Linked DNA regions of Anolis sagrei. The protein of the gene in region 1 purifies or fractionates together with the protein of each later gene. This does not show direct contact. Links are inferred from orthologs where the notes say so. Each region holds a gene or a part of one and is shown on either strand. Other genes may lie near its edges.

Region 1 (7,905 bases):
CTGGGTTTTGTAATATTTCTGTAGTGTAGGTGCTTACAACTGCATGTCTCAAAATGTGGCCAATAAAAGGGTAAAATTACTTATATATAAATAGTTAGCCACTCAGTTAGCTCTAGCAAACTTCTTATGATCTGGCCAGAGGGGAATAATTTATGTTGCATGTCTCGCAAAGGATCCTGGCACTCAAAAGTGGAAAACAGCCTGCTATACTACCAGTTGCTTCTTTGCAATTTAAGCAGGCGTGCATTTTGCTAACTTAGGTGTTTTGTTCAGCTGAGCCCTATGCAGATGGAGGGAAATGTCATTTCATTTGTTGCAAGTGGCTTGCTTTCAAATAATGCTTAGATCCTTGATGAGGTGGATAGAAAAGAGAGAGTAAATCGAAAAGACTACAGTCTTAGTTGCACCAAAGATATATAATAATCATTACTCTAATTTAAGCCACATTGGTTTCAATTAACTCAGAACCAATCCGGTTCAATTAAACTTAGCAGTCAAGTAAACTTTGACTTGACCCGATGAACAAGAGACTTCTATAGGTGCACCTATACTGTAGAATTAATTTAGTTTAACTGCTATGGCACAATACTATGGTATTCTAGGATTCTGCAGTTTGGAGAGGCACCAGCACTTTGGCACAGAAAGACTTTGTAAGACTACAGTTCACATGATTCTAAGGCACTGAGCCATGGCAGTTACTGGTTTCAAATTGCATTGATTCTACAGTGTAGAAGATGCACCCAAAGTCACCTAAATAGTAACAGCCCTGCTTAGGTTTTGCAAATTCAGGGCCATGGGAACTTGCATTGAGACCCCTTCTAGGGCCCTTCTACACCACCATATAAAATCCACATTATCTACTTGGAACTGGATTATATGGCAGTGTAGATTCATATAATCCAGTTTAAAGCAGATAATGTGAATCATCTGCTTTGATAATCTAGATTATATGACAGTGTAAAAGAGGCTAATGTATTGATTGTCTACTTGAAAGTTATGTAAATAATCTGCAGTCATAATTTTTATTAATTTATGAAGCTGCCCAATCCTTTACACTTCCCTTCGTGACTTTATTCTATAACCCTTCCGAGTCTTTCCCCCCCCCTGCATAGTGGTATAGTGTCATCTGCATATCTTAAATTGTTGATATTCCTTCAGTGTTCACTCCTCTTTCCTCCTGTTTTAGGTAGGATATATTCAGCATAAAAGTGATAAAAGGCGGTTTTACCTGACCTTTCTGGCAACTGGAAACCACTCTGGGCCCTCTACATTGTAGAATTAATCCAGTTTGACACCGTTCAGTGCCATGGGTTCATGGGTTTTGTAGCTTTACAAGGTCTTTCACCTTCTCTGCCAATGAATGCTGATGCCTCACCAAACTACAACTTCCACGCTTCCTTAGCGTTCAGCTATGGCAGTTAAAATGGTGTCAAACTAGATTAATTCTACAATATAGATGCACTCTCTGTTTGTCCACATTCTGTCCACATGGACAGAATGAGAATAGAGCAGGACAATAAAATGTTGCAGCCTTAAGAGAGATGTATAATTTTGGGGGAAAAAATCACATTCATAGGTTTGCTATCATCTATCTTTCTATCTATCTATCTATCTATCTATCTATCTATCTATCTATCTACCTATCTATCCATCCACATAATATATATGTGTGTATGTGGCTAGGGTGTCCACTTACAGAGACAAGCTCCTGCCTCCACAAACAGCTATAGCTCCCACTGCTCAGGAGACACAAATGGCCCTCCCTCCAGTGACATTGAAGGTTATAGAGAGCACCATGAACATGCCCAAGAGCCAGGCATGTAGCCGGGGGGGGGGGGGGGGGGGGCTCGGGGGGCTTCAGCCCCCCCCCCCCCCCGAAATTTTCATGGTGGTTCGCGAAAAGGCCTTATTGGTGCATTATTTAAACTGTTATGTTTATTCATATCATGATCTGATCACCATACTCAATATATCCCATATGCATGGGGATATTGGGGTAATGATACAAAAGGTTTGCTAGGCTAGACCCTCTTTCACTCAGACTCAGCCCCCCCCCGAAAATCAGCCCCCCCCCAAAACCCCCCCTGAAAAAAAATCAGCCCCCCCCCCCCCCCGAAATGAAATCCTGGCTACGGGCCTACCACGAGCCCTGTCAGTGTCTTCCACAAACACAAGCCTGCCCACCACCCAAGTGAAAGCTTTCATATGGGTACATTTTCACCCTAGAGTTTCTGTTTTTCCTCCACCACAGGCATCCCAGTATTTCTGACTCTTTCCATTAGTGTGGAATTTGCATGACCCCACCCACTGCCTCTCCCTTAACCCTTTCCTATTCTTTTCTCTAGCACACAGAAGCAGAGGAATTGATCAGAGAGGTTTGGGGAGAATTCACTATTATTTATAGAAGCTGTAGGTACTGGGATGTATAGTTCACCTGCACCCTAAGAGCACTCTGAACTCCAGCAACTATGGACCTGGAACTAACTTGGCACATAGAACCCCCATGACCAACAAAACATACTGGACTTGGAGCAATTTATAGGAGTTGTAGTTCACCTACATCCAGAGCGCACTATGAACCTAAATAGCGATGGATCTGGACCAAACTTGGCATGCATACCTGATATGTCAAAATTTGAATACTGGTGGGTTTTGAGGGGAATTAGCCTTGACATTTTGGAGTTGTAGGTACTGGGATGTATAGTACACCTGCTATCAACAAACACTTCAAACTCCATTAAAGATGTAATTAAACCAAGCTTGGCACACAGAGCCCCCATGACCAGCAAAAAATACTGGAGGTATTTGGGAGAAATTTACCTTGATTTGGGGGAGTTGTAGTTCGCCTACATCGAGAGAGCACTGTAAACCCAAACATCGATTGATCTGGACCAAACTAGGCACACAGACCTGATATGCGGAAATATGATTATTGGAGGGGTTTGGGGGAGTTGGCATTCCTTTCTGGAAGTTGTAGATCACCCACAACCAGAGAAACTGTGACTTCCACTAATGAGGGACCTCGACCAAACTTGGTGCTCAAAGCCCCATGACTAACACAACCTACTGGAGGGGTTTTAGGGGACTGACTCACCATAGTAGGAGTTGTAGTTTACCCTACAGCCAGAGAGCGAATTGAACCCCATCAATGATGCATCTAGACCAGTGGTTCTCAACCTGTGGGTCCCCAGATGTTTTGGCCTTCAACTCCCAGAAATCCTAACAGCTGGTAAACTGGCTGGGATTTCTGGGAGTTGTAGGCCACCAACCCCCCTCCCCCCCCCAAAAAAAACAACACCTGGGGACCCATAGGATGAGAACCACTGTCCTAGAAGAAACTTGCCCAACATAACAAACTTTTAAGTACTGATGGAGCTTTTGGGGTTAACCTGGCATAATGTGAGTTGTAGTTTACCCACTACCTTATGTATTTTGTACAATTAAAAAATAGTCTTTTCAAATAACCCGGACAATGCCAGCTACCAAGCTACTAATATTTAAAACACAGGCTGATTTTCCTCTGCAGTTTTTAGAAATGCATTATCCAACATATCTTTGCAAGTATGTGTGTATGTGTACGTGCGTGTGTATATACAGTAGAGTCTCACTTATTCAACATAAACAGACCAGCAGAACATTGGATAAGCAAAAATGTTGGATAATAAGGAGGGATTAAGGGAAATCCTATTAAATGTCAAATTACGTTATGATTTTACAAATTAAGCGCCAAAACATCATGTTTTACAACCAATCCACAGAAAAAGCAGTTCAATATATGGTAATGTTATGTAGTAATTACTGTATTTAGGAATTTAGCACCAAAACATCGCAATGTATTGAAACAGCTGTGGATCCGGATGGGAAGCAGAATACGTTGGATAATACAGAACGTTGGATGAACAAAGGTTGGATAAGCAAGAATCTCTGTGTGTGTGTATACACACAAAAAGGGAAGGAGGGAGAATTTAAAAAGAAGAAAAAAGTATATCTCATGGAACACCAATTAAGTGAAAGTTTGTATCTCATCAGGTAACACTGAGAGTGCCATTTTGGGCAGCTTTATTTGTCAAACAGATCTAGAATCCCAATTAATTTGGGAGAAGGGGTTTGACACAGAAAATTGAAGAGTGAAGTTTAGTGTGATGCTGAGGAATGTCATATATGACTATGTATAAATGAATGGATGAGTATAGTGAGAGGCACAAAAAAGATGACTTTCATATATGAATATGTAAAGTGAATGAATTGATTAGTATAGTGAGGGGCACAAAAATATGAGTTTCATATATAAATATGTATGTATGCATAAATGACTGGATGGATGAGTATAGTGAGGGGCACAAAAAAGGATGACTCCCATGGTGGAAATGGGAAGATCTCAACTGTTGCTGCCACTTGCTTGAAATATCACATCTTCTCCTTTAAGGATCCCTCTTCATCCTAAACACCCCAAATGCAGTATGATAAATAAATTAATTGATTCAGTATGGGATGAAGAAGGATCCTTAAAGAGGACGAGAGGATAAAATGTTTAGAAGCTGGGAGGGAAAGGAGGAGGAGGAGAGAGAGAGAGAGGACATGGCCGAGGGCAGAGAAAGGCAAAGGGCGAAAGTGGTTGAAGCCCCACTGCTCTCACTCAGCTCATTCTTCGCCTCTAAAGGGAACGTCTACAAACTATCAGGAAATTTGTGCGGCAGAAGGGTGGCGCGCGTGACGTCACAGGCGAGGATTGTCAAGGCGGCGGAGGGAGGGGAGGGGGAGAGAAAGAGCGCGCTTTCGTCACAAAGGGGGAATTTCCCCCCTCTCCCTTGGAGGGAGTGCTCGGTGGGAGGGGTAGTCCAGGGCGAGGCAGGGAGCCGGGAGGAGAGGAGGGAGCCCGGAGCGCCGAATGGAACTCTGGGAGGCGTGACGTCTGCCCTACAAGCCCCGCCCCCTCGGCACAAGCTATATAAAGGGCGCCGCTCACCGCTTCGGTCTTTTTCGCTACGGGTTTGCCGCTGCTTCGGAGGTGAGTCTCTGCCACGTGTGTTGCGGGAAGGGGAGGAGGCCTGGGCCTAGGCCGGGCGGGGCCCACGTGTTTCCATCGGGGACAATGGCGTTCGACGCCTGAAAGGGAGGGGACTTGTGGGGGGAGGGGATGGGACACGCGTGTCAGCGCGTACACACGTTACGTGTATGTGAGAGGGGTCGGGAGGGAATGGGGGCTTGTGAGAGGGATTGGGAAGGAATGGGGGCTTGGGGAAAGCTTTTTCGGGAACGCGTGTCTTGCTTTTCCGTGTCGAGCTTGGCAAACACGTGTCTCAATTTCGGATTGAAATGCTGTCGTTTTGAGGATAGCGCGACGCTTTGTTTCTGCTCCTCATCTCGTCAATCCCCACTCCCCTTTTGTGTGGTTGTATTGGCTGGCCTTCGTTGTAATTGCGTTCCTGACGCCCTCGTTGTTGCATATTCAACTCAGCGTTCTTTTCTATTACTCTGTGTGTGTAATCACTACACAGAGTAATTGGGGCGCCTTTCCATGGGGAGCCACTGATGCCGCACTCCCTCTCGCCCTGCCTCTCTCTCGTTCTCTGGGAAGAAGCCTTTTGCCTTCTCTCGCTTCGCTGTGGGGAAAAAATGGCGGCGGCTGTCGCTGCCACAAAATGGAGGGCGCGCGGGCGGGGCGCGTGCCGGCCGGAGGGAGAAGGAGGGAGGGAGGAAGCGAGCGCGAGCCGGGCCCTTGAGTGCGCATGCGCGGCTTCGCACACAAAGGGAGTCTCGAGCCGCCCTCGCTCAGTTTTTCCTCTTTCTCTGCCTCAACCCCTTATTAACTGGGCCTTTTTAAACTCTTGCGGCCACGACGACACGCGAAAGACTTCGGTGAGGAAGAGTGGGGGGAGCTTGGGTTTCCGCCCCGCTGACGCAACGCCCCTCCTCCTCCTCACTGCCGCCACCTTGGAGCGGTGGGTGGAGTTGAGCAACTCGAGGCAGGCTTCGGGCCTAGCTCAGGCCTACACCTCAAACAGCATCTGCCTGCGCGCTTTCCTCTAACGCAATGGTTCTCAACCTGTGGGTCCCCAGGTATTTTGGCCTACAACTCCCAGAAATCTTAACAGCTAGTAAACTGGCTGGGATTTCTGGGAGTTGTAGGCCAAAATACCTGGGGACCCACAGGTTGAGAACCACTGCAGTAGATAAATATTTTGCCTTTTTGCGTATTGTTAATTAGCAGGCTCTGATCTCTTTTAATTTTAATTTTAAATGATTTTTTATTTATCCCCCCAAAAAACAAAAGGTTTTTTATCTGAAGCGGGCGAGAACCACCTTATTCATCTGCCAAAATGGGAAAGGAAAAGACCCACATCAACATTGTGGTCATCGGGCATGTCGACTCTGGCAAGTCCACCACCACTGGTCACCTGATCTACAAATGTGGTGGGATCGACAAGAGGACCATTGAGAAGTTTGAGAAGGAAGCTGCTGAGGTGGGTATGGCACCCCTGGTGTAATTTCCAGTCTAACATCAAAACAAGGGATTTTTGATCAATTATAATTTTTCTTTTAATTTTTCTGATATTAAATTTATTAAATGTTGGTGCTTTATGTAAAAAAATTAAATGGAATAAAAAAGGATGAGAATGTAAGGCTACATTGATGTGAACCTGTGTAGTTTAAGAGGACTGTTCCCTAGGTTTCAAGGGAAAATTAGTCTAGGGCCCCACCTACCCTTGCCAGTTCCCTTCAAACTGTGGTCCCTTCTACACTGCCATATAATCCATTTCAAAGCAGCTGCCCTGAGTCTGTAATGGGGTGGTGGTGATGCAATAAATCATTATTAAAGCAGATAATGGATTTTATATAGCAGTGTAGTAGGGGCTTGTGGTAGCCAGGCAAGAAACGCTCAGAAAAGTACACAAAAGGAAGCCCTTTATACACATCACTGGTTTGTGGTAATCGCCAGGCCCCAGGCTGATTTCTGTAATCAAAATGGCATTAAATGGTCATTGTAGATGGGGCCTCTCAGATCTTACATTATAGCTACACTATTTAATCTCTACTACAATGCAACCAGTATACTTGATTTCCCAAGTCTCTTCTGCTTGTATTTAAGGAGTTCATTTATTGTGGTAAATTGTAAATGGTAAACATCTAAAATGTGTAATTTTAAAAATGCACCACGAGATGTTTTGTGTATCTATGTCAGTCTTGTAGTCCTCCAGGTGCCAGAATTCTGGACTAAGGGACAACCTGACTAGGGCTTCTGGTAGTTGGGGTCCTAAAAACCTGCCGGGCTACATAAATATAATAATCTTCTGGCTTTAGTTTAGAATGGGATGCTTAGCAGAATTCACAAGTTAAATGGACATAGAAAATATATGGAGGAGCCAGTGAATGTGCCATGTATCTTGTCAGTTATTTGGCTGTTACATCTGTAAGCTTTGAAGTAGCTGTTAAGTAATTAAACAGTTCAGCACTGTATTAAGTGTCACTGGGTTAAGTAAGCAAAACAGATTTGGAATCTCACACTGCCTCTGCCAAACTGTGCTAAATATAGTAATGTGTGTATTACATTTCAGTGTGTTTGATGCTTGACGTCTTGAGCAAGTTCTTTCTGGCAACAGTTAACTTCTCTGTAAGATGTGTTAATCTAATTGCCTTTTTCTTGTTCAATAAACAGATGGGCAAAGGCTCCTTCAAGTATGCCTGGGTGTTGGACAAACTGAAAGCGGAACGTGAACGTGGTATCACTATTGACATTTCACTCTGGAAGTTTGAAACAAGCAAATACTATGTCACTATCATTGATGCCCCTGGACACAGAGACTTCATCAAGAACATGATTACTGGAACCTCCCAGGTAAGCAGATTATGGTGTTTTGGGAATCTAGAGTAAGATTTACCTGTGTTGAGAAAATACATTCAATT
Region 2 (7,170 bases), on another chromosome or scaffold:
TTTGTTGCCAGTGTGATGTCTATACTCTTCACTATTTTATCAAGATTGGTCATTGCTCTCCTCCCAAGAAGTAATTGTCTCCTGATCTAATTGTCTGCATCTGCAGTGATCTTTGCACCTAGAAATACAAAGTCTGTCACTGCCTCCATGTTTTCTCCCTCTGTTTCCCAGTTTTCAATCATTCTTCTTGCCATAATCTTGATTTTTTAATGTTTAACTGCAACCCAGCTTTTGCGCTTTCTTCTTTCACCTTGATTAGAAGGCTCCTCAGCTCCTCCTCACTTTCTGCCATCAGAGTGGTGTCATCTGCATATCTAAGATTGTTAATGTTTCTTCCAGCAATTTTCACCCCAGCCAGAAAAAGAAAATAACAATATAACACAATATAATTCCAATAATACAATATAATATTGTAATACACAATACAGTAATATTAATATTATGCTATGTGAATATAATATGTTGTATATACATATATTGATATTATAATATAATCCAATATAATTCTAGTAATACAAAATAATAAACATTGTAATATAGGTAAAGGTAAAGGTTTCCTCTGACATTAAATCCAGTCATGTATGAATCTGGGGGTTGGTGCTCATTTCCATTTCTAAGCCGAAGAGCCGGAGTTGCCGTAGACACCTCCAAGGCCATGTGGCCAGCATGACTGCATGGAGCACTGTTACCTTCCCGCCGGAGCGGTACCTATTGATCTACTCACATTTGCATGTTTTCGAACTGCTAGGTTGGCAGAAGCTGGGGCTGAGAACGGAAGCTCATGCCGCTCTCCACATTCGAACCTGTGACCTTTCGGTCAAGAAGTTTAGTACCTCAGCAGTTTAACCCACTCTGCCACCGGGGGCTCCTACACTGTAATATAATAATAGTAAAATTGCACTGTGCGAATATAATATATTGTATATACATATATTGATATTATAGTATAATCCCATATTTCTAATAATAACACAATATAATATACATTGTAATTTAGTAATAGTAATATTGTGCTATGCAAATATAATATACTGTATATACATATATTGATAATATGATAATATAATACAATATAATATATATTGTCATATAATACCAATATTGTACTATGTAAATATATAGTATATACATATATTGATAATACAATACAATACAATACAATCTTAATAGTAATAATACAATATATATTGCAATATAGTAATACTAATATTGTGCCATGCAAATATATTGTATATACATGTATATATGGGCGCTAGAAACAACATCATACGAAAGCTGACTGGCACAACCTGGGGATCACAACCAGACACAGTGAAGACATCTGCCCTTGCGCTATGCTACTCTGCTGCTGAGTATGCATGCCCAGCGTGGAACACATCTCACCACACTAAAACAGTAGATGTGGCTCTTAATGAGACATGCCGCATTATCACAGGGTGTCTGCGCCCCACACCACTGCTTAGCCGGTATTGCACCACCTGACATCCGCCGGGAAGTTGCAGCCAGTAGTGAAAGGACCAAGGCAGAGACATCTCCAGCTCATCCCTTTTTTATTATTATTATAACTTTATTTGTACCCCGCTAGCATCTCCCAAGGGATTCGATGCGGCTTACACAGGCCGAAGCCCAACACAATACAACAATACAATACCTAAGAAAATAAAGCAAATCCCTTGTACGGTTCCGGTCCAGCGTATCTGTCCGAACGTATCTCCCTCTACGTACCACCCCGGACCTTGAGATCATCTGGGGGGGGCCCTGCTCTCGACCCCACCACTCTCACAAGTGAGGCTGGTGGGGACGAGGAGCAGGGCTTTCTCAGTGGTGGCTCCTCACCTGTGGAACTCACTCCCCGGGGAAATCAGGGCAGCAGCATCCCTCCTCGCCTTTAGGAGGAGGGTGAAGACGTGGTTGTGGGACCAGGCCTTTGGGCACTCCAGCAATTAAAGCAGACATTCAGGCGAGTAAGACCAGCAGGACTGATGAAGTGGAACAGGAAACTAGAACTATGAATGAGCAAACGCTGACCATGTAAAAGGAGAAATTGGGTTTGTATGGGGGTTTTATTGATTTTATGGGAATAATGTATGAATTTATGTATGAATTGTTAATTGATTTGATGTAATTTTGTGTACACTTGTTTTATGATGCAGGCATCAAATTGTGCCTTGCTACTGTAAGCCGCCCTGAGTCCCCTTCGGGGTGAGAAGGGCGGGGTAGAAGAACCCCAAATAAATAAATAAATAAAATATCAGCCAGCACGCCAACGACTTAAATCAAGACATAGTTTTCTTAGATCTACAGAGACACTCGCTGGAACACCCCAGCAAGCGAGAGTCCAAAAGTGGCAGGCCCAAACCCAGCACCTCAATCCCTGGGTGATACCAGATGAGAGACTCCCCCTGGGCACACAGAAGACTGGGCGACTTGGAAGCGCTGAACAAACTGCGCTCTGGCATCACGAGATGCAGAGCCAATCTTAAGAAATGGGGCTACAGGGTGGAATCCACGGCATGCGAGTGTGGAGAAGAGCAAACCACTGACCACCTGCTGCAATGCAACCTGAGCCCTGCCACATGCACCATGGAGGACCTTCTTGCGGCAACCCCAGAGGCACTCCAAGTGGCCAGATACTGGTCAAAGGACATCGAATCAACATTGAATCAATTACCAAGTCTGCAAAATCTGTGGGTTTTTTTAAACCTGTTTGTTTGTTTTGTTCTGTTAGAAATGTAATACAATGGTATGGTTGCTGATGACACGATAAATAAATATATATCCAGTGGGTTAAAGCACTGATCTGCTGAGCTTGTTGATCGAAAGGTCACAGGTTCGATTCTGGGGAGCGGCGTGAGCTTCCGCTGTCAGCCCTAGCTTCTGCCAACCTAGCAGTTCGAAAACATGGAAATGTGAGTAGATCAATAGGTACCGCTCCAGCGGGAAGGTAACGGCGCTCCATGCAGTCATGCCGGCCACATGACCTTGGAGGTGTCTATGGACAACACTGGCTCTTCGGCTTAGAAATGGAGATGAGCACCACACCCCAGAGTCAGACATGACTGGACTTAATGTCAGGGTACTACCTTTACCTTTACCTTTAGATACATATATAGATAATATAATACATTACAATCTTAATAATAATACAATATATATTGTAATCTAGTAATACTAATATTGTGCCATGCAAATATATTGTATATAGGTTCTTGTGGGTTTTTTCGGGCTATAGGGTCATGTTCTAGAGCAGGGGTCAGGAACCTTCGGCCCTCCAGGTGTGGTGGACTTCAACTCCCACAATTCCTTGAGGCTCGGCATTCGCTCCAAAGGCTTACCTTGGCCTCAAGGAATTGTGGGAGTTGAAGTCCACCACACCTGGAGGGCCGAAGGTTCCCCATGCCTGTTCTAGAGGCATTTCTCCTGACGTTTCGCCTGCATCTATGGCAAGCATCCTCAGAGGTAGTGAGGTCTGCAAGCCTTCAAATGCTAATGAAGGTGGCCAGTTGAAACATTCACACCTAGCTCCAGCAGAGCTCTTTGCCCCACCCTGGTCATTCCACAGATATATAAACCCATTGTCCTACTTCCAGCAGACCTCACTACCTCTGAGGATGCTTGCCATAGATACAGGCAAAACGTCAGGAGAAAATGCCTCTAGAACATGGCCCTATAGCCCGAAAAAACCCACAAGAACCTAGATTTTATTATTGTATATTTGCCATGTTTTTGATTGTGAGCCATTATTTTGCCATGGAAGAATGGGATTTTACAATGTCTGTAGCCTTCTGTGACAAAGAGTACTGGTACCTCACCAACTTAGCAGTTAAAGCAGTATCAAACCGCATTCATTCTGCAGTGTAGATGCATCTTGGACCTTGGGTGATGTTTTACCCTGGTCTAGGCGTGGCGAGGACCACCACCATGTGGGCTAGTGCAAACCCCCATGCAATGGCGCCCGTCTTCTCCCAACAAAAGGGAGAGCTGCAGTGCCCCCCTCCCACTTTCCCCATTGCTGCGCCTGCTGCCACACCCAGCTCTGCTCCGAAGCCCCCTCCCTCTCCCGCTACGTGTCTCTTTCCGCCGCCGTCCAATCAGAACGCCGCTCCTGACGCCCGCGGGCCAATGGGAGCGCGGACCGCCCGCCAGTTTATAAAACCTTTGTCTGGGCGCCCGGCCCGCCTTCCTGCCTTCCCTCTGCGTCGCCTTCGGAGGATCGAACCTTGAGCTCCCCAACGTTCTGAGTCTTAAAGGAGCGGCGCGCCTCTGAAGCAGAAAGGAACGAGGGAAAAGTAATTAAGAGGGGGGAAAGTGTTTTGAAAGCCAGGCAAAGATGAGGGAAATCGTGCACATTCAAGCTGGGCAATGTGGTAACCAGATCGGTGCAAAGGTGAGGATGGGTCATTGAGGTATATATTATTAAATTGGGGTTGCAAAAAAAGAAAAGTAATTCAAGCAATATAATTTTTCATAATTCAGGAGATTATTATTTTAAAATGTGGCCGAAAGGAAGTAGTCGGCAGAGCTGCACATTGGATGTAAAATATTGGCTTGGGAGGGGAAGGACTCGTTTTAATTCCTTTCAACAACAAGGAAAGGAAGGTGGGGCTGTAACGCTGCTTCCGGGGCTGTAACGCTGCTTCCGTTCCTTACAAAACGCTCTCCTATTGCAAAGTCATTTTTCTTTGGGGGGGCGCGCACATTAAATTTAAAATATTGGCGTGGGAGGGGGATGACTCGTTTTAATTCCTTTCAACGACAAGGAAAGGAACGTGGGGCTGTAACGCTGCTTCCGTTCCTTACAAAACGCTTTCCTATTGCAAAGTCATTTTTCTTGGGGGGGCGGGCGCATTGGATTTAAAATATTGGCTTGGGAGGGGAAGGACTCGTTTTAATTCCTTTCAACGACAAGGAAAGGAACGTGGGGCTGTAACGCTGCTTCCGTTCCGTACAAAACGCTCGCCTATTGCAAAGCCATTGTCTTTGGGGGGAGGGGGAAGGGGTAAAGGAAAGCTGGGTGGGGCGGCAACGAGATCCAAACGCTGTGAAAAGGAACGACGTTAAATAAGAACGCGCCATTATGCTTCCTCTTTCCCATCCCTATAATCACAGCGTTTTCCCAATCTCCAAGGTGTTCTTTCTCCCGCTTAACTACTCTGCTATGGAAAGTAACTCGTTACTTCCTCCTAAAGGGCGTGGAATTTGCTTCCAAAAGCACATTTTCCCCAAATATCTCCAGTGTTTTTCCTTATTTAACTACTTTGCAACGGAAAGTAACGCGTTGCTTTTCCAGAAGGAACGGCGTTACTTAACTGGCGTGGAATTTGCTTCCTCCCATAATCACAGCGCTTTCTCCATATCTCCCAAGTTCTTTCCTTCCGTTTAACTATTTTTAACAATGTAACGCGTTACCTCTCCCAAAGGAACGGCGTTACTTAAGGGGCGTGGGGTTCGCTTCCTCTTAACATGCATTCAGGTGGTGAAAAGGGAGGGAAGGCGCCCCCAATTCCCCGCCAACTAACGTCCTCCTTAACGTTTTTAGCGCCAAGGAGCTGCAACCAGGAGGAGGGATTTGAATTTTTTTTTTGCTAAAGGAAGTGGGAGGGGAGAAAAAGGCATGAGGTTTCCCGCACGAGGCTCTGAAGTGTGGGGTGAAAATAGCGGGCTTTATCTCTATATACCTTATCAATATCTTTTAACCATTGCTCTACAGTCTCTTTGTAATAAACACACATAAAGGGTTGGAGTTGGAGCAACAATGAGTAGCCTCTCCATTGTAATATGAATGCAGCTTGCTCCCATTATTAACTGCCATGGCTAAAGGGTGTGGAGTCCTGGGATTTGTAGTTTGGTGACACATAGAGTTGGAAGAGACCTGATGGGCTATCCAGTCCAACCCCATTCTGCCAAGAAGCAGGAAAATTGCATTCAAAGCACCCCCGACAGATGGCCATCGAGCCTCTGTTTAAAAGCTTCCAAAGAAGGAGCCTCCACCATACTCCGAGGCAGAGAGTTCCACTGCTGAACGGTTCTCACAATCAGGAAGTTCTTCCTAATGTTCAGATGGAATCTCCTTTCTTGTAGTTTGAAGCCAAAGTCAAAGAAACTATAAATCCCAAACAAAAAGAAAAGCCACGGGGCAGAGAGTTCCACTGCTGAACGGCTCTCACAGTCAGGAAGTTCTTCCTAATGTTCAGATGGAATCTCCTTTCTTGTAGTTTGAAGCCAAAGTCAAAGAAACTATAAATCCCAAACAAAAAGAATAGCCACGGGGCAGAGAGCTCCACTGCTGAACGGCTCTCACAGTCAGGAAGTTCTTCCTAATGTTCAGATGGAATCTCCTTTCTTGTAGTTTGAAGCCAAAGCCAAAGAAACTATAAATCCCAAACAAAAAGAAAAGCCACGGGGCAGAGAGTTCCACTGCTGAACGGCTCTCACAGTCAGGAAGTTCTTCCTAATGTTCAGATGGAATCTCCTTTCTTGTAGTTTGAAGCCAAAGTCAAAGAAACTATAAATCCCAAACAAAAAGAATAGCCACGGGGCAGAGAGTTCCACTGCTGAACGGCTCTCACAGTCAGGAAGTTCTTCCTAATGTTCAGATGGAATCTCCTTTCTTGTAGTTTGAAGCCAAAGCCAAAGAAACTATAAATCCCAAACAAAAAGAAAAGCCACGGGGCAGAGAGTTCCACTGCTGAACGGCTCTCACAGTCAGGAAGTTCTTCCTAATGTTCAGATGGAATCTCCTTTCTTGTAGTTTGAAGCCAAAGTCAAAGAAACTATAAATCCCAAACAAAAAGAATAGCCACGGGACAGAGAGTTCCACTGCTGAACGGCTCTCACAGTCAGGAAGTTCTTCCTAATGTTCAGATGGAATCTCCTTTCTTGTAGTTTGAAGCCAAAGCCAAAGAAACTATAAATCCCAAACAAAAAGAAAAGCCACGGGGCAGAGAGTTCCACTGCTGAACGGCTCTCACAGTCAGGAAGTTCTTCCTAATGTTCAGATGGAATCTCCTTTCTTGTAGTTTGAAGCCAAAGCCAAAAAAACCCTATAAATCCCAAACAAAAAGAAAAGCCAAAAGCCAGGCATGTGTTCCTCAAAAGGAAAAAAAGTGCCTACTTGGGAAATACAATGTGTCTTATTTTAAAACTGCTTCAGAGACACCAATAAACTCG
Region 3 (7,089 bases), about 56 Mb from region 1:
CTTGGCACACAGAGCCCCCATGACCCACTCTATATCCTGCTGCTGTTTGGAGGAGGATGGGCCATGGATGATGGGACTTCAAGTACCTTCACTCACTTCCTGAAAATAATGCAGCCGTTATCCAAAGACCAATAAAGACCTAACTTGGCATACAGAACCGCCATTACCCACTTTCTCTAATAACCCGGGCAACGCCGGGTCCCCAAGCTAGTATATAATAAAGAAGAGTGTTTGTATCGGACAGAGGAATTGTGGAGGGAGGGCGGAAGGGCGGTGTATGTGCCAGCATTCTGACTGGCCAGCCTGAAAGTTCCAACATTCGGATTGGCTGCCGCAGTGGTGCTATTTGCATATGGTCTCTGATTGGCCAGCTTCAATAGGAGCCCCCGGTGGAGAAAACAGTTCATGGCAGAAACGGGGACATGAGAAGGAAATTTGCATATGGTCTCTGATTGGATAGCTTCAATAGGAGCCCCTGGTGGAGAAAACAGTTCATGGCAGAAACGGGGACATGAGAAGGAAATTTGCATATGGTCTCTGATTGGATAGCTTCAATAGGAGCCCCTGGTGGAGAAAACAGTTCATGGCAGAAACAGGGACATGAAAAGGAAATTTGCATATGGTCTCTGATTGGCCAGCTTCAATAGGAGCCCCTGGTGGAGAAAACAGTGAATGGCAGAAACGGGGACATGAGAAGGAAATTTGCATATGGTCTCTGATTGGCCAGCCTCAATTCCATGATTCCGAGATGACAAAGAGAGGAAAAGAAAAGGCCAGAGGGGGCTGAGTCAAAACATTACCAATACAGACCAGACTTGGCATACAGAGCCCCCATGACCCACTTGACATCCTACTGCAGTTTGGAGGAGGATGAACCATGGATGATGGGACTTGCAGTACCATCACTCACATTCTGAGACCGCTGTTAACCTTATCCAATGACTGATCATGACCAAACTTGGCACATAGACCTCTCATGACCCACTTTACGTCCTGGTATGGTTTGGCCGGGGATGGACCGTGGATTATGGGACTTGCAGTACCATTGCTCAATACTTCAGACAACTGCAACCCTCATCCAATTACCAATAAATACCAAACTTGGCACACTGAGTCTCCATGACGCACTCTACATCCAGGTGCAGTTTGAAGGAGGATGCACCATGGACGATGGGACTTGCAATACCTGCACTCCCTTCCTAAGACCATTATAACTGCCAACAATGATGGATCAGGACCACAATTTACACAGAGAGCCCGCATAACTCACTCTACATCCTGGTGCGGCTTGGAAGAATTTGACAATGGATGATGGGACTTGCAGTCATTTCACTCACTTCCTGAGACCACTGAGACCCTCGCCAATGACTCATCAAGACTAAACTTGGCACATGGAGCTTCAATGACCCACTCTACATCCTGGAGCAGTTTGGAGGACGACAGACCATGGATGATGGGACTTCAAGTACCTCCACTACCCAAGACTGCTGCAAAACTCATCTAATGGCCAATCAAGACCAACGTTGGCACACAGAGCCCCCATGACCCACTCTACATCCTGCTGCAGTTTTGGAGAAGGGTGGACCATGGATGATGGAACTTCCAGTACCTTCACTCACGTTCTGAGACCTCTGCGAACCTCATCCAATGACGGATCAAGACCAAACTTGGCACATAGACCTCTCATGACCCACTTTACGTCCTGGTGTTGTTTGGAAAACTTTGGAGATGGATGATGGGACTTGCAGTACCTTTGCTCACTTCCTGAGACCACTGAGACCCTCGCCAATGACTAATCAAGACTAAACTTGGCACATGGAGCTCCAATGACCCACACTACATCCTGCTGCAGTTTGGAGGAGGACAGACCATGGATGATGGGACTTCAAGTACCTCCACTCCCTTCCCAAGACTGCTGCAACCCTCTTCTAATGACCAATCAAGACCACACTTGGCACACAGAGCCCCCATGATCCACTCTACATCCTGATGCAGTTTGAAAGGGGATGGACTTTGGATGATGGGACTTGCAATACCTTCACTCACTTACTGACACCACTGCCACCCTCATCTAATGACTGATAAAGACCAAACTTGGCACACAGAGCCCCCATGACCCACTCTATATCCTGCTGCTGTTTGTAGGAGGATGGCCCATGGATGATGGGACTTCAAGTACCTTCACTCACTTCCTGAAAATAATGCAGCCGTTATCCAAAGACCAATAAAGACCAAACTTGGCATACAGAACCGCCATTACCCACTTTCTCTAATAACCCGGGCAACGCCGGGTCCCCAAGCTAGTGGAGAATAATAGTGGGTTGTTGTGGCAAGCATCCTCAGAAGTAGACCTCACTACCACTGAGGATGCTTGCCATAGATGCAGGTGAAACGTCAGGAGAGAATGCTTCTGGAACATGGCCATATAGCCCGAAAAAACCTACAACAACCGTGATTCCGGCCATGAAAGCCTTCGACAATACAATAATATAAGACGGAGGTCCTATGGCTGGGTCGACCGGGCAGTGGGGATATCCAGATGCCTACCTGGATGGTGAGGCGCTACGCCTATCATCATTGGTAAAGAGTCTGGGAGTCCTTTTGGACCCTCTGCTGACGATGGAGGCCCAGGTCTCCGCCGTTAGGAGAACCGCTTTTTTTCATCTGTGGCAGGCTAGACGGCTGGCCCCCTACCTGTCCAGGGACGACCTAGCTACGGTGATCCAGGCCACGGTCATCTCAAGACTGGACTACTGTAACACCCTCTACATTGGCCTTCCTCTGTCGGTGATCCGGAAGCTCAAATTGGTACAAAATGCAGCTGCTCGGCTTCTTGCGGGAATTCCGATGAGATGCCACATAACACCAATCTTAGTACAGCTGCACTGGTTACCAATTGAGCACCGGATCACTTTCAAAGTGATGGTACTCACCTTTAAGGCCTTGCATGGTCTGGGGCCGATGTACCTGAGTGACCGCCTCACCCCCTACCAACCCCAGAGATCCCTCCGTTCTGAGGACCAAGATCTATTGGAAATTCCCAGTGTCAAGACCTTGCGCCTAACAGCAACCAGACGCAGAGTCTTTACAGCAATGGCACCATCACTCTGGAACACTCTGCCACCTGAAGTCCGTGCCTTGCGGGACTTACCAGCTTTCCGCAGGGCATGGAAGACATACCTGTTTTGGCAGGCCTTTGATTTTTGATACTGCTGTGTTTAAATTGTTTTAAATTGTGTTAGATTTTAGCCATTCTTGTAAGCCGCTCCAAGCCCCAGGGGAGTGGCGGCATATGATATAAGTTGGAATAATAAATAAATAAATAAAAATAGTTGTGATACATCTGGGAAACGTGGATCCCTCAGGAAACTTGCTTATTTATTTATGTATCGTGTCAGGAGTGAACCAAAACAGTTGTATTGCATTAAAAACAAACAAACCACAAAATTTGCAGACTTGGTATTCTATTAGATGTCCTTTGACCAGTAGCTGACCAAAAGGAAACCTGCTAAACACCTTCAATTCAGGCAGTAACAAGAGGGAGGACTCAACCATTGAAGAGGTGATGGGGGGAATTGGCCCTCCCTTGGCCTTGGCGGGTTATACCACTTTACAACAAGGGCGGGGGGGGGAGTCCTTTCCAACTATGGCTACGACGCTTGAGAGAGAAAGATGCGGTCGACCCGTCAAGGGCGTTGCGTTGCTCAGTGCCAACGACCCCGACAGAGGAGTGAGGGGCAGCGGCGTCGTGTAGCCCAGCCCGCCCGGCAGCCCTTCTCCCTCGCATTACCTCTTCAGGCGGGGGCCGCACCGGCCCCAACGACCCAAAACAACGCCTCCCCACGAAGGTCTCCGCTTCGCTCTGGCAATATGGCGGCGGCTTCGGCAATTTCCGTGGCGAGTTCGGCAATCTCCGGCTCCTCCGACGTCACATCCGGGCGGGGGGCAAGTCAAGGAGACGTTCCGATGCCGCGAAAGGGGGCGTGGCCTCGGAACCTTGGGAAGATTGCCTCAGAAATCGTCTTCCGCGGCGGAAGGATACGTCACGCGCAGACTATATAAGCGTCGCCGGAAAGAGGCGCGGCCTTTTCGTGCGGCGGCGACGACAACGTGTCTCTCTCTCTGTCTGTCTCTCGCCGCCATGGGTTTCGGGGACTTGAAATCTCCCGCTGGCCTCCAGCTCCTCAACAACTTCTTAGCGGACAAGAGCTACATCGAGGGGTGAGCTGGCCGCCTTCTCCCTCTCGCCCGCTTCCAGGGAGGCTTTGAAGCGAGGAAGAAAGGCCACCCGGCGCCACTTTCAACCGCCATGGCTCAAGCCTACAGCATCCGGGCATCTGTAGTTTGGGGAGGCCCCGGCACTCTGAGGGCCCTTCCACGCAGCCATATAACCCAGTATATCCAAGCAGGAAATCTCACAATGTCTGCTTTGAACTGGGTTATCTGAGTCCACACTGCCATATATCCCAGTTCAAAGCAGATAATGTGGGATTTTCTTCAGCTTTGTGGAAGAAGCCAAGGCTACAGTAAGGCTCCTTCTAGACAGCCATATAATCCACATTATCAAAGACGATTCACATCTGTGTGTCCAGTAATCATCTTCTCTGTATCTACAATTTGGTGATGGATCTGGGCATTGTATGTTTTTACCCCGTTTCCCCTTCTGCTCCCTCACCCATATTGTGTTTTTCGTAATATTTATATTTTAATGTACCAAACATGCCAGGTTTGTATGGAAATGTGACACTATTTCCTGTGCTGGTCAATGACCGAAATAAATATTTTGATTCACATCTGCTTTGAACTGAATTATCAGTGTACACTACCCATTAATCCGATCCAAAGCAGGAAATTGGATTTTATATAGCAGCGTAGAAGGGACCAAAGGCTGTGTCACTAGTTTTTCTTTCTAAAGCTCCTTCCACACAGATGTGTAAAATTCACATTGAACTGGATAATATAGCAGTGTGGACTCGTAATATAATTCAAAGCAGATATTGTGGATTGTCTGCCTTGATATTCTGGGTTATATGACTGTGTGGAAGGGCCTCAGATTGCAAAAAGCAGGTTTTTCCTTGCTGCTCCCTCTGCGAAGGCCTTGAAAGTGTTACTTCCTGTTTAATTGTGCAGTACTTACTTTGAAAGTAATTCTTATAATTCTCCAGAAACTTCATTTTTGTGGCTGCCACAAACTATGTTGAATTTATTGTCAAAGGCTTTCATGGCCAGAATCACTGGGTTGTTGTAGGTTTTTTCGGGCTATATGGCCATGGTCTAGAGGCATTCTCTCCTGACGTTTCGCCTGCATCTATGGCAAGCATCTTCACTACCTCACCTCACTACCTCTGAGGATGCTTGCCATAGATGCAGGCAAAACATCAGGAGAGAATGCCTCTAGAACATGGCCATATAGCCCGAAAAAACCTACAACAACCCTATGTTGAATTTGTTGAGACTCTACTACAAGGTATTGAAACTCTGCAAATGTGCTGTAGAATGACCCACAAAAACAAAGTTTTGCAGTTTAATACCTATGTTTTTATAATAGAACCAAATAGGAAATTATATTTATAACCCAGGAACAAAAATCCTCTCACGAGATGAGTTCATGGTTTGTGCTTATTCGCATCAGGTACCTCCTGCTGCTTAGGTTGGATCTACACTGTCATATGATCTAATTTCTAAATCCAGATTATCTGCTTTGACCTCGATTATATGAGTCTACACTGCTATATAATACAGTTCGAAGCAGATAATCTGGATCCAGAAACTGGATTATATGGCAGTGTAGATGGGGTCTTAGTAAGGCCTTCATTAACTGCTGCCAAGTAGACTTCTACTGATGGTGACCTCCAAGTTATCCCCCCCTTCACAGTTAGTAGTTAGTTATGCCTTTTTTCATAATGGTTTGGATTACATTCTCATATTAAGACAGACCCACAGACCATTGGTCTATATACCCCAGATTTATTTTTCTTAGAATTCTGTGAGCACTGGATTCGCCAGAAAGACATATCCTAGATCAAATCAAGCCTGAACTTTGGAGCCAAGATGATTAAACTGAGACTGTGGTACATAGAACATAAAAAGACATGGCTTGCTAAAAGAGACAGTAAGGCTTGGGAAGATAGAACGCAGTGGGAATAGAGCAGGCAGGGGACAAACTTCAGCCCTTCAGATGTTTTGGACTTCCAACTTCCACAATTCCTAACATGCCTGGAATAAAGGAAGGCCACATTACGCTTCAGTGAAGAAAGTCTTGAGTCTACAAGACCTTAAGAGGGCTACTAGTAAGAGGGTGACTTGCTGATTGCTGATTCTTAGGTCATAAGTCAAAGTTGCCTTAACAGCAGTTAACAGACCCATATTAAACTCTGCATCATCTTTGTAGCCCAGATTTGTTTCTTTCCTGGGTTTGTCTAGGGCAGGGCTCCACAAATTTCTTTAAACAGAGGGCTGGGTCCGGAGGGCCGGATTATAATTTGAAAAAAACATGAATGGATTCCTATGCACACTGCACATACCTTATTTGTAGTGCAAAAACACTTTAAAACAATACAATAATTAAAATGAAGAACAATTTTAATAAATATAAACTTATTAGTATTTCAGTGGGAAGTGTGGGCCTGCTTTTGGCTGATGAGATAGGATTGTTGTGGTGTGCCTTCAAGTCGTAACAAACTTAGATTGACCCTGAGCAAGGGCCAGGTAAATGACCTTGGAGGGCCATATCCAGCCTCCAGGCCTTAGTTTGAGGACCCCTGGCCTAGGACATTTGTTCATGATCATTTTGTTTGGGGTGTTCCTTTCTCCCATAGAAAGCAGTGGATATATTTTTTTGCTCGTATATCTTTATCACATTCATTGCTAATTAAAATCCATCTGTCAATTGCAACACAAATTGGGAAAGCTACTTTGGATTGCAGCTCCCAGATCTCCCAAATGCCATGGCTAGGAAAATCAAGAAATAGTAACACTGTGTAACATTCTTGTTCCTGAGTTATAAATGTCATTTCCTAATTGGGTCTACCATAAAAACAGGGAAAATTTATTTAAACTACAAAAACTGGTTGTTTTTGGTGGACATCC
Region 4 (7,366 bases), on another chromosome or scaffold:
AATGGATATAAATAGATGTTGCAGACACTTATTGTTTTCTGAGAGAATACTTCCTAGAAATGCCTAGGCCCTCTAATTGAATGATTAACGGTAAGACACGACTAATCAAATCTGCAAATGCTCACCTTCAAATATAGAGAATTATGGATATGTATAGAACACACATTTTTCCTTTGCTTATTTATTTACAGTATTTATATTCCACCTTTCTCATCCCAAAGGGGACACAGGGTGGATAAGAGAACACATATTCGGTAAATATTCAATGTCGATTATACAATGACAAGACAGGCAACAGATAGTAGTATTATATCAGCTTTTCCCTATCTTTTCGGCATCTTTGGAGGCTGTGCTCAGTTCCGGCCACAGGGGGATGTTGTCGCTCCATCTCCTTGCTGAAGAGCATTCTTCGTTGGTAAACTTTTTTCTTCTTTTTTCTCTGATTGAAAAACTGTGCTTAAAATACCTCCCTACTTTAATGCAGTTCCTGTTTATCTACTATTTGCTGTTTTTGATCTGCTCGTTGGGCGGGTAGTTGGGCTGAAGGTCAGGAGCTCACCCTGACCCAGCTTTGAACTGTCAACCTTTTGGTTGGCAACCAAGATTTATTGCAGCTATAGCTGGCGATTAACCTGCTGTGCTAAAGCCAGCTTATGTAGTTTGAGGCAGCTCTCCCTAGAAGCCAGGATGACAAAACAGAGAGTGCTGCACTTTCAGCATATCATATGGAGTCCCCGGTGGCGCAGTGGGTTAAACACCTGTGCCGGCAGGACTGAAAACCGACAGGTTGCAGGTTTGAATCTGGAGAGAGGCGTATGAGTTCCCTCTATCATCTCCAGCTCCTCATACGGGGACATGAGAGAAGCCTCCCACAAGGATGATAAAAGCATCAAATCATCTGGGCGTCCCCTGGGCAACGTCCTTGCAGACAGCCAATTCTCTCACACCAGAAGCGACTTGCAGTTTCTCAAGTCACTCCTGATATGACAAAAAAACAAAAAGCATATCATAAGAAGGATTGACTTGCTAGAAAATACAACACTATGCAACATGATTTTTGGTCCTGGGTTATAAATGTCATTTCCTAATTGGTTTGATCTTAAAAACAAGGAAAATGATTATTAAACTTCAAAAAATTGTTTTTGCAAGACATCCTGCAGCACATTTTGCTATAGTTTTTCAATGAATATCTCGAGTCTCAATCAATTCACCTTACTTTGTGGCAGTCACAAAAATGAAGTTTCTGGACTATAACAACAATTTTCAAAGTAAGTACCACATACTTAAACAGGAAATAACTTTTTCAAACCAGGAATACATTTTTTTCATGCGGTTTCTCAAGTCACTCTTGACACGAAAAAAAAATCACTTTGCCATTGGTCTTGTTTAGCTGGGGAACATGGGAAACAAAAAGAGTGGGCCAAACCATATTATTCTATGATTGCACACCACAGTATTTTTAAAAAGCCCTGCTAATCACGCATAGTGTTTATTACTTACTTAGGCAATCCCTTGTAGTCCGAGTAGGATTGTCATCCAAGATCGATGTACTGGCGGTGGGTCCGTAGGTGACTGTGGAGCCCTATTCTTGATCTGCATCTTCTGAAGTGAGAGCATTGGTTTCCAGGTGGAAGGCGGTCCCGGTCGGGATTGGCTTGACGTGTCTTCCTCTTGGAACATTTCTCTCTGTCTCCCTCCATTTGTGCCTCTTCAAATTCTACAGCATTGCTGGTCACATCTGACCTCTAGCTGGAGGGCTCAAGGGCCAGGGCTTCCCAGTTCTCCGTGTCTTATGCCAGAGTTTTTGAGGTTGGCTTTGAGCCCATCTTTAAATCTCTTTTCCTGCCCACCAACATTCCGTTTTCCATTCTTGAGTTTGGAGTAGAGCAACTGCTTTGGGAGACGGTGGTCGGGCATCCGGACAACGTGGCCGGTCCAGCGGAGTTGATGGCAGAGGACCATCGCTTCAATGCTGGTGGTCTTGCTTCTTCCTGCACACTGACATTTGTCTGCTTGTCTTACCAAGAGATTTGCAGGATTTTCTGGAGGCAACACTGATGGAATCGTACCAGGAGTTGCATGTGATGTCTGTAACAACAAACACAAATCCACTACAAGTCGTAGTACATAATTCACAAAGGTAAATGTTTTTTTCCAGCTTATATAATGCAATATTAAACTTATAACCAACTTATATGATATCATATAAGTTGATTATAAGTTTAATATTGCATTATATAAGCTGAAAAAAAATTACCTTTGTGGTTTATGTACTATGACTTGTAGTGGATTTGTGTTTGTTGTGATTGTGGAAATCCATTGTCTTATGTGACGTCTGTAGACAGGCCACGTCTCGCAGGTGTATAGCAGGGTTGGGTGGACAATGGCTTGATAAACAAGCCCCTTGGTATCCCTACAGATGTCCAGGTCCTCAAACACTGTGCTTCATTCGGAAAAATGCTGCACTTGCAGAGCTCAGGCGGTGTTGTATTTAAGTGTCGAATGTGGAGAGGTGGCTGCCAAGGTAGCGGAAATGGTCAACATTTTCTAATGTTTCACCATTAAGCTGTATTTTTGGCATTGGAGAGGGATTGGCTGATGACTGCTGCAAGAGCACTTTGGTTTTCTCGATATTCAGTGACAGGCTGAGCTTCTTGTATGCTTCTGCGAAGGTGTTTAGAGTGGCTTATTTATTTATTTATTTATTTATTTATTTATTATATACCATCCAGTCTCAACCTCCGCAGAGGGACTCAGGACGGCTAACAAAACGGCACCCCATGGTGCCCATACCAGAAACATAAAAATACAATTTAACAGCAATATGGCAATAAAACTGTATAAAACAATCCAGCAGTCAGCAGTTTGAATCATCATCCAAGGGGCAATCAGTCAGTTCTATAAAAGTCGTCATATCAGCAACTCAACCTAATCTAGCCAGGATTTCACTTGTTTCCGGAAGGTCAAGAGGGATGCAGAAGATCTAATTTCACTTGGGAGGGAGTTCCATAGCTGAGGGGCCACCACAGAGAAGGAACCAGGCTTTTGGCTAATGGATATAACAGCACCTGAACAGTGAATTGGACTAGACGGTTGTTATAATGGAACTGCCTTTATGATTGGATAACTAACATTGTTTTAATGTATTATATTGTATGATTTTATTTTGCTATTATAATTGTAATTATTGTGGCATCGAATCGTTGCCATTGTTAGCTACTCTGACTTCCCATGAGGAGGTGAGAAGAGCGGGGTAGAAATGCTGTAAATAAATAAATAAAATATCCCTTGTCACAACCAGACGTGATTGCGACAATGGGGGGACAATGAGCAGGGTCTCCCTGGATGATTTTAGGGCCGTAGGTGGATCGTAGCGGGAGATACGTTCGTACAGGTAAACTGGACCAGAACCATTTAGGTCAGTGATGGGCAACCTTTTGAGCTTGGTGTGTCAACATTTGCCAAAAACCTGAGCATAACTTGGGTGGGGTGTCAACTTCAAGAAAAAAACAACATAATTTTGCAATATTTATAGTTTAAATAAGAAAAATGTATATTCCATGCTGAGTTATGGAGTGAACAATGCTCAAACGTGCAAATGTTAAATTTGTAGAGCCTTTTACAAATTTAAGGATGGAATTAGATTGGCTGTTATAAGGTGTACTTCTCTGTCTGTGGCCGCATGTGGCCACGTGTCATCAAAAATAGCGATGCGTGTCAGTGCTGACACACGTGTCATAGGTTGACCATCATGGATTTAGGTCTTCTTCTGAATGCGCACAGATGACGTTGTCATCAGCATACTGGAGTTCTATAACACATGTTGTAACCTTGGTTTTGGCTTTCAGTCTGCTGAGGTTAAATAGCTTGCCATCTGTCTGATAGATGATTTCCACTCTGGTGAGAAGCTTCCCATCAACAAGATGAAGAATCATAGCTATTTTCCATAGTGTTTATCACAGAGATATCAATGTTGAGAAATCTCACTATATACATTTATGGGCTAATAGTCTCCTAATAAGAGAACTTTGCCCGGAAGTTCTGCATCTGTATCACTCTAACTGTTTTTCTCTGTGGTCAGTTTTAGACTTTTTGTCACTCCTACCAATAAGAAGAGGACCCTGCGAAGGGCTGTCTAAGCAACTGCCTTTGTGAAAAAAAATAAATCCCCATTCACTCGAATGTGCATGATGCAACTGGTTTGTAATCATTAGGAGTGAAGGCTCTCCTTCCTTCTAGGAGAGGAAGCGGTATTCAATTGCATTACTTCTACAGTGTAAATTTACTCAAAGGCACAGGGTTATTACAGTGCTGTTTCCTTAACTTTGCGCACCTAGTATTCCTCCTGCTTGTAGATACATGAGACAGGCATTGCTGTAGACGCCTACAGAAGGGGTCCTTCCTCCAAAAGAAAAAGCAGCACGTGGGGGAGAGGCTGGGACCGGCTGGCAGTGCAGGTAAGAAGGAAGCCCTTCCTGTCCCCATTCCCTGCTGGGACCCTCCCAACTATTCAATAAGTACTTCCCCTTCTTTAGCCTGTGCTGTCAACTCTTTTCTCTACTTCCAAGAGACTTGGATTTCCTGCTTCTTCCCTTTGCAGTTCATTGCAGCTCTGAGTGCATCTACACAGTGGAATTAATGCAATTTGATACCACTTGAACTGCCAAGACTCAGTGCTATGGAATCCTGGGAGTTGCAGTTTGTAAGGTCTTTAGTTATTCCTTCCCCACCAAAGTACAACGCCCAGGATTCCATACCATTGAGAGATGGCACTCAAAGTGGTGTCAAACTGCATTAAATATGCAGTGTAGACATTAATTCCCAGTTGTCACTTTAAAGAATCCAGATCTTGTCAGATCTTTGAAACTAGAATCCTAGAGTTGGAAGAGACCTTATGGGCCATCCAGTCCAACCCCCTGCCAAGAAGCAGGAAATTTGTATTCAAAGCATCCCCGATAGATGGCCATCCAGCCTCTGTTTAAAAGCTTCCAAAGAAGGAGACTCCACCACACTCCGGGGCAGAGAGTTCCACTGCTGAACAGCTCTCACAGTCAGGAGGTTCTTCCTAATGTTTAGATGGAATCTCCTTTCATAGAATCATAGAGTTGGAAGAGACCTCATGGGCCATGCAGTCCAACCCCCTGCCAAGAAACAGGAAAAATGCACTCAAAGCACCCCCGACAGATGGCCATCCAGCCTCTGTTTAAAAGCTTCCAAAAGAAGGAGCCTTTACCACGCTCCGCGGCAGAGAGTTCCACTGCTGAACGGCTCTCACAGTCAGGAAGTTCCTCCTAATGTTCAGATGGAATCTCCTTTCATAGAATCCTAGAGTTGGAAGAGACCTCATGGGCCATCCAGTCCAACTCCCTGCCAAGAAGCAGGAAAATTGCATTCTAAACACCCCTGACAGATGGCCATCCAGCCTCTGTTTAAAAGTTTCCAATGAAGGAGACTCCACCACACTCCGGGGCAGAGAGTTTCACTGCTGAATGGCGCTCACAGTCAGGAAGTTCTTTCTAATGTTCAGATGGAATCTCCTTTCCTGCTTCGTGTCCTAGTCTCCAGGACAGCAGAAAGCAAGTTTGCTCCCTCCTCCCTATGATTTCCTCTCCCACATTTATACATGGCCCTCATCATACCTCCTCTCAGCCTTCTCTTCTTCAGGCTAAACATGCCCAGGTCTTTAAGCCGCTCCTCATAGGGCTTGTTCTCCGGGCCCTTGATCATTTTTGTTGCCCTCTTCTGGACACATTCCAGCTTGTCAATATCTCTCTTCAATTGTGGTGCCCAGAATTAGACACAGTATTCCAGGTGTGGTCTAACCAAAGCAGAATAGAGGGGTAGCATGACTTCCCTGGATCTAGGCACTATACTCCTATTGATGCAGGTCACAATCCCACTGGCTTTTTTTTTTTGCCGTCGCATCACATTGTTGGGTCATGTTTGACTTGTTGTCCACGAGGACTCTAAGATCTTTTTCACACGTACTGCTCTCGAGACACGCCTCCCCCATTCTGTATCTTTGCATTTCTTTTTTTCTGCCTAAGTGGAGTATCTTGCAACTAAGCAGGGTCAGCTCTATTTCGCCCTTGCAAGGATGCTGTAGTGCAGGCATGGGTTGTTAGGAATTGTGGGAGTTGAAGTCCAAAACACCTGGAGGGCCAAAGCTTGACCATGCCTGCTGTAGTGTGTTTCAAAAGAAGGAACGGGCAAAACCACATCTTGAATATTCCTTGCCTGAGAAAAACTTACAAAATTAATAGTTAGTGATGAGTCCACAGTCAGACTTGAAAGGACACATACAAATATAGGCAATCCCCAAGTTACAGACATCTGACTTATAGTTAAGAACGGGGGTGAGACAACAAGAACTGAGAGAAATCGACTTATAGGAAGGGAATTTTATTCCTGGGGGAGTTATCATGGGGAAAAGGTATCTCCATTGAAGCTTTCTCACCCATCCTTGTTTCCACAACAAGTCATAATATTCAAATTCCACACCTGGAATACTGTGTCCAATTCTGGGCATTGCAATTCAAGGGAGATGTTGACAAGCTGGAATGTGTCAAGAGGAGGGTCTGGAGAAAAAGCCCTATGAGGAGCGGCTTAAAGAGCTGGGCATGTTTAGCTGCAGTAGAGAAGATTGAGAAGAGACGTGATGAGAGCCATTTATAAACATGTGTGTGTGGGGGGGGGGACATCATAGGGAGGCGGGAGCAAGCTTGTTATGGGATGACTGTATATAAAAAAAACTGGGAATATTTTATCCTTCATAGAATACTCCTTGGGACCTCTATCCTAATGCCTGAAGATCTAAGGGTGCATTTATGCTATAGAATTAATGTAGATTTAACTCCACTTTAACTGCCTTGGCTCAATGCTATGGAATTTTGGGAGTTGTCGTTTTACAAGGTTTCAGTCTTCTTGCCAAAGGGAGATAGTGCTTCATCAAATAAAAAATCATGGATTCCCAAACATTGAACCATGGTATCAAATTGCAATTATTCAGCAGTTTTGATGCACTGTATTATAGAAAAGATACCCGAGTCCTAGAGCCATCTGGATAGCATCTCAAGCATAAAAATAATGATTTAGAACAAATTTAGGAGAGTTCCTGAAAAATTAGATTCCTTTCTTTCCTGGATTCAGATAGTTGAGGTAATAACATTTCCTCCTCCTATCTCTTGGGACACCGTCTTTTCCCCATATGGCACTGCAGAAGTATTTTCACTAACTCTCTTCTCTCAGCATAATATAACTATCATGCACAGTGTTTATATTTATTCTCTACACAGACATATAGCATGCATTCAGGAAAGGTGGAGAAAACACTGGCTTTTGTTCCTCTTGAGTCATTGAGTTCCTC

What was found.
Region 2: the proteins of EEF1A1 (region 1) and TUBB fractionate together in Homo sapiens (co-fractionation; 3 studies listed by BioGRID). This does not show direct contact. The link is inferred for Anolis sagrei from reciprocal best matches to the Homo sapiens genes EEF1A1 and TUBB.
Region 3: the proteins of EEF1A1 (region 1) and EEF1B2 purify together in Homo sapiens (affinity purification with mass spectrometry; 3 studies listed by BioGRID and IntAct, counting the BioPlex papers as one, with this or other methods). This does not show direct contact. The link is inferred for Anolis sagrei from reciprocal best matches to the Homo sapiens genes EEF1A1 and EEF1B2.
Region 4: the proteins of EEF1A1 (region 1) and VARS1 purify together in Homo sapiens (affinity purification with mass spectrometry; 3 studies listed by BioGRID and IntAct, counting the BioPlex papers as one, with this or other methods). This does not show direct contact. The link is inferred for Anolis sagrei from reciprocal best matches to the Homo sapiens genes EEF1A1 and VARS1.

What each region holds. Positions count from the first base shown.
Region 1 is NC_090021.1:111,735,204-111,743,108, forward strand, and holds the start of EEF1A1 (elongation factor 1-alpha 1), read left to right. Parts: upstream 1-4,905; 5' UTR 4,906-5,008; intron 5,009-6,274; 5' UTR 6,275-6,320; coding exon 6,321-6,464; intron 6,465-7,657; coding exon 7,658-7,837; intron 7,838-7,905. UniProt on the Homo sapiens protein: Translation elongation factor that catalyzes the GTP-dependent binding of aminoacyl-tRNA (aa-tRNA) to the A-site of ribosomes during the elongation phase of protein synthesis.
Region 2 is NC_090022.1:21,651,697-21,658,866, reverse strand, and holds the start of TUBB (tubulin beta chain), read left to right. Parts: upstream 1-4,156; 5' UTR 4,157-4,330; coding exon 4,331-4,387; intron 4,388-7,170. UniProt on the Homo sapiens protein: Tubulin is the major constituent of microtubules, a cylinder consisting of laterally associated linear protofilaments composed of alpha- and beta-tubulin heterodimers.
Region 3 is NC_090021.1:168,211,073-168,218,161, forward strand, and holds the start of EEF1B2 (elongation factor 1-beta), read left to right. Parts: upstream 1-4,072; 5' UTR 4,073-4,141; coding exon 4,142-4,221; intron 4,222-7,089. UniProt on the Homo sapiens protein: Catalytic subunit of the guanine nucleotide exchange factor (GEF) (eEF1B subcomplex) of the eukaryotic elongation factor 1 complex (eEF1).
Region 4 is NC_090022.1:21,196,293-21,203,658, reverse strand, and holds the start of VARS1 (valine--tRNA ligase), read left to right. Parts: upstream 1-4,348; 5' UTR 4,349-4,457; intron 4,458-7,366. UniProt on the Homo sapiens protein: Catalyzes the attachment of valine to tRNA(Val).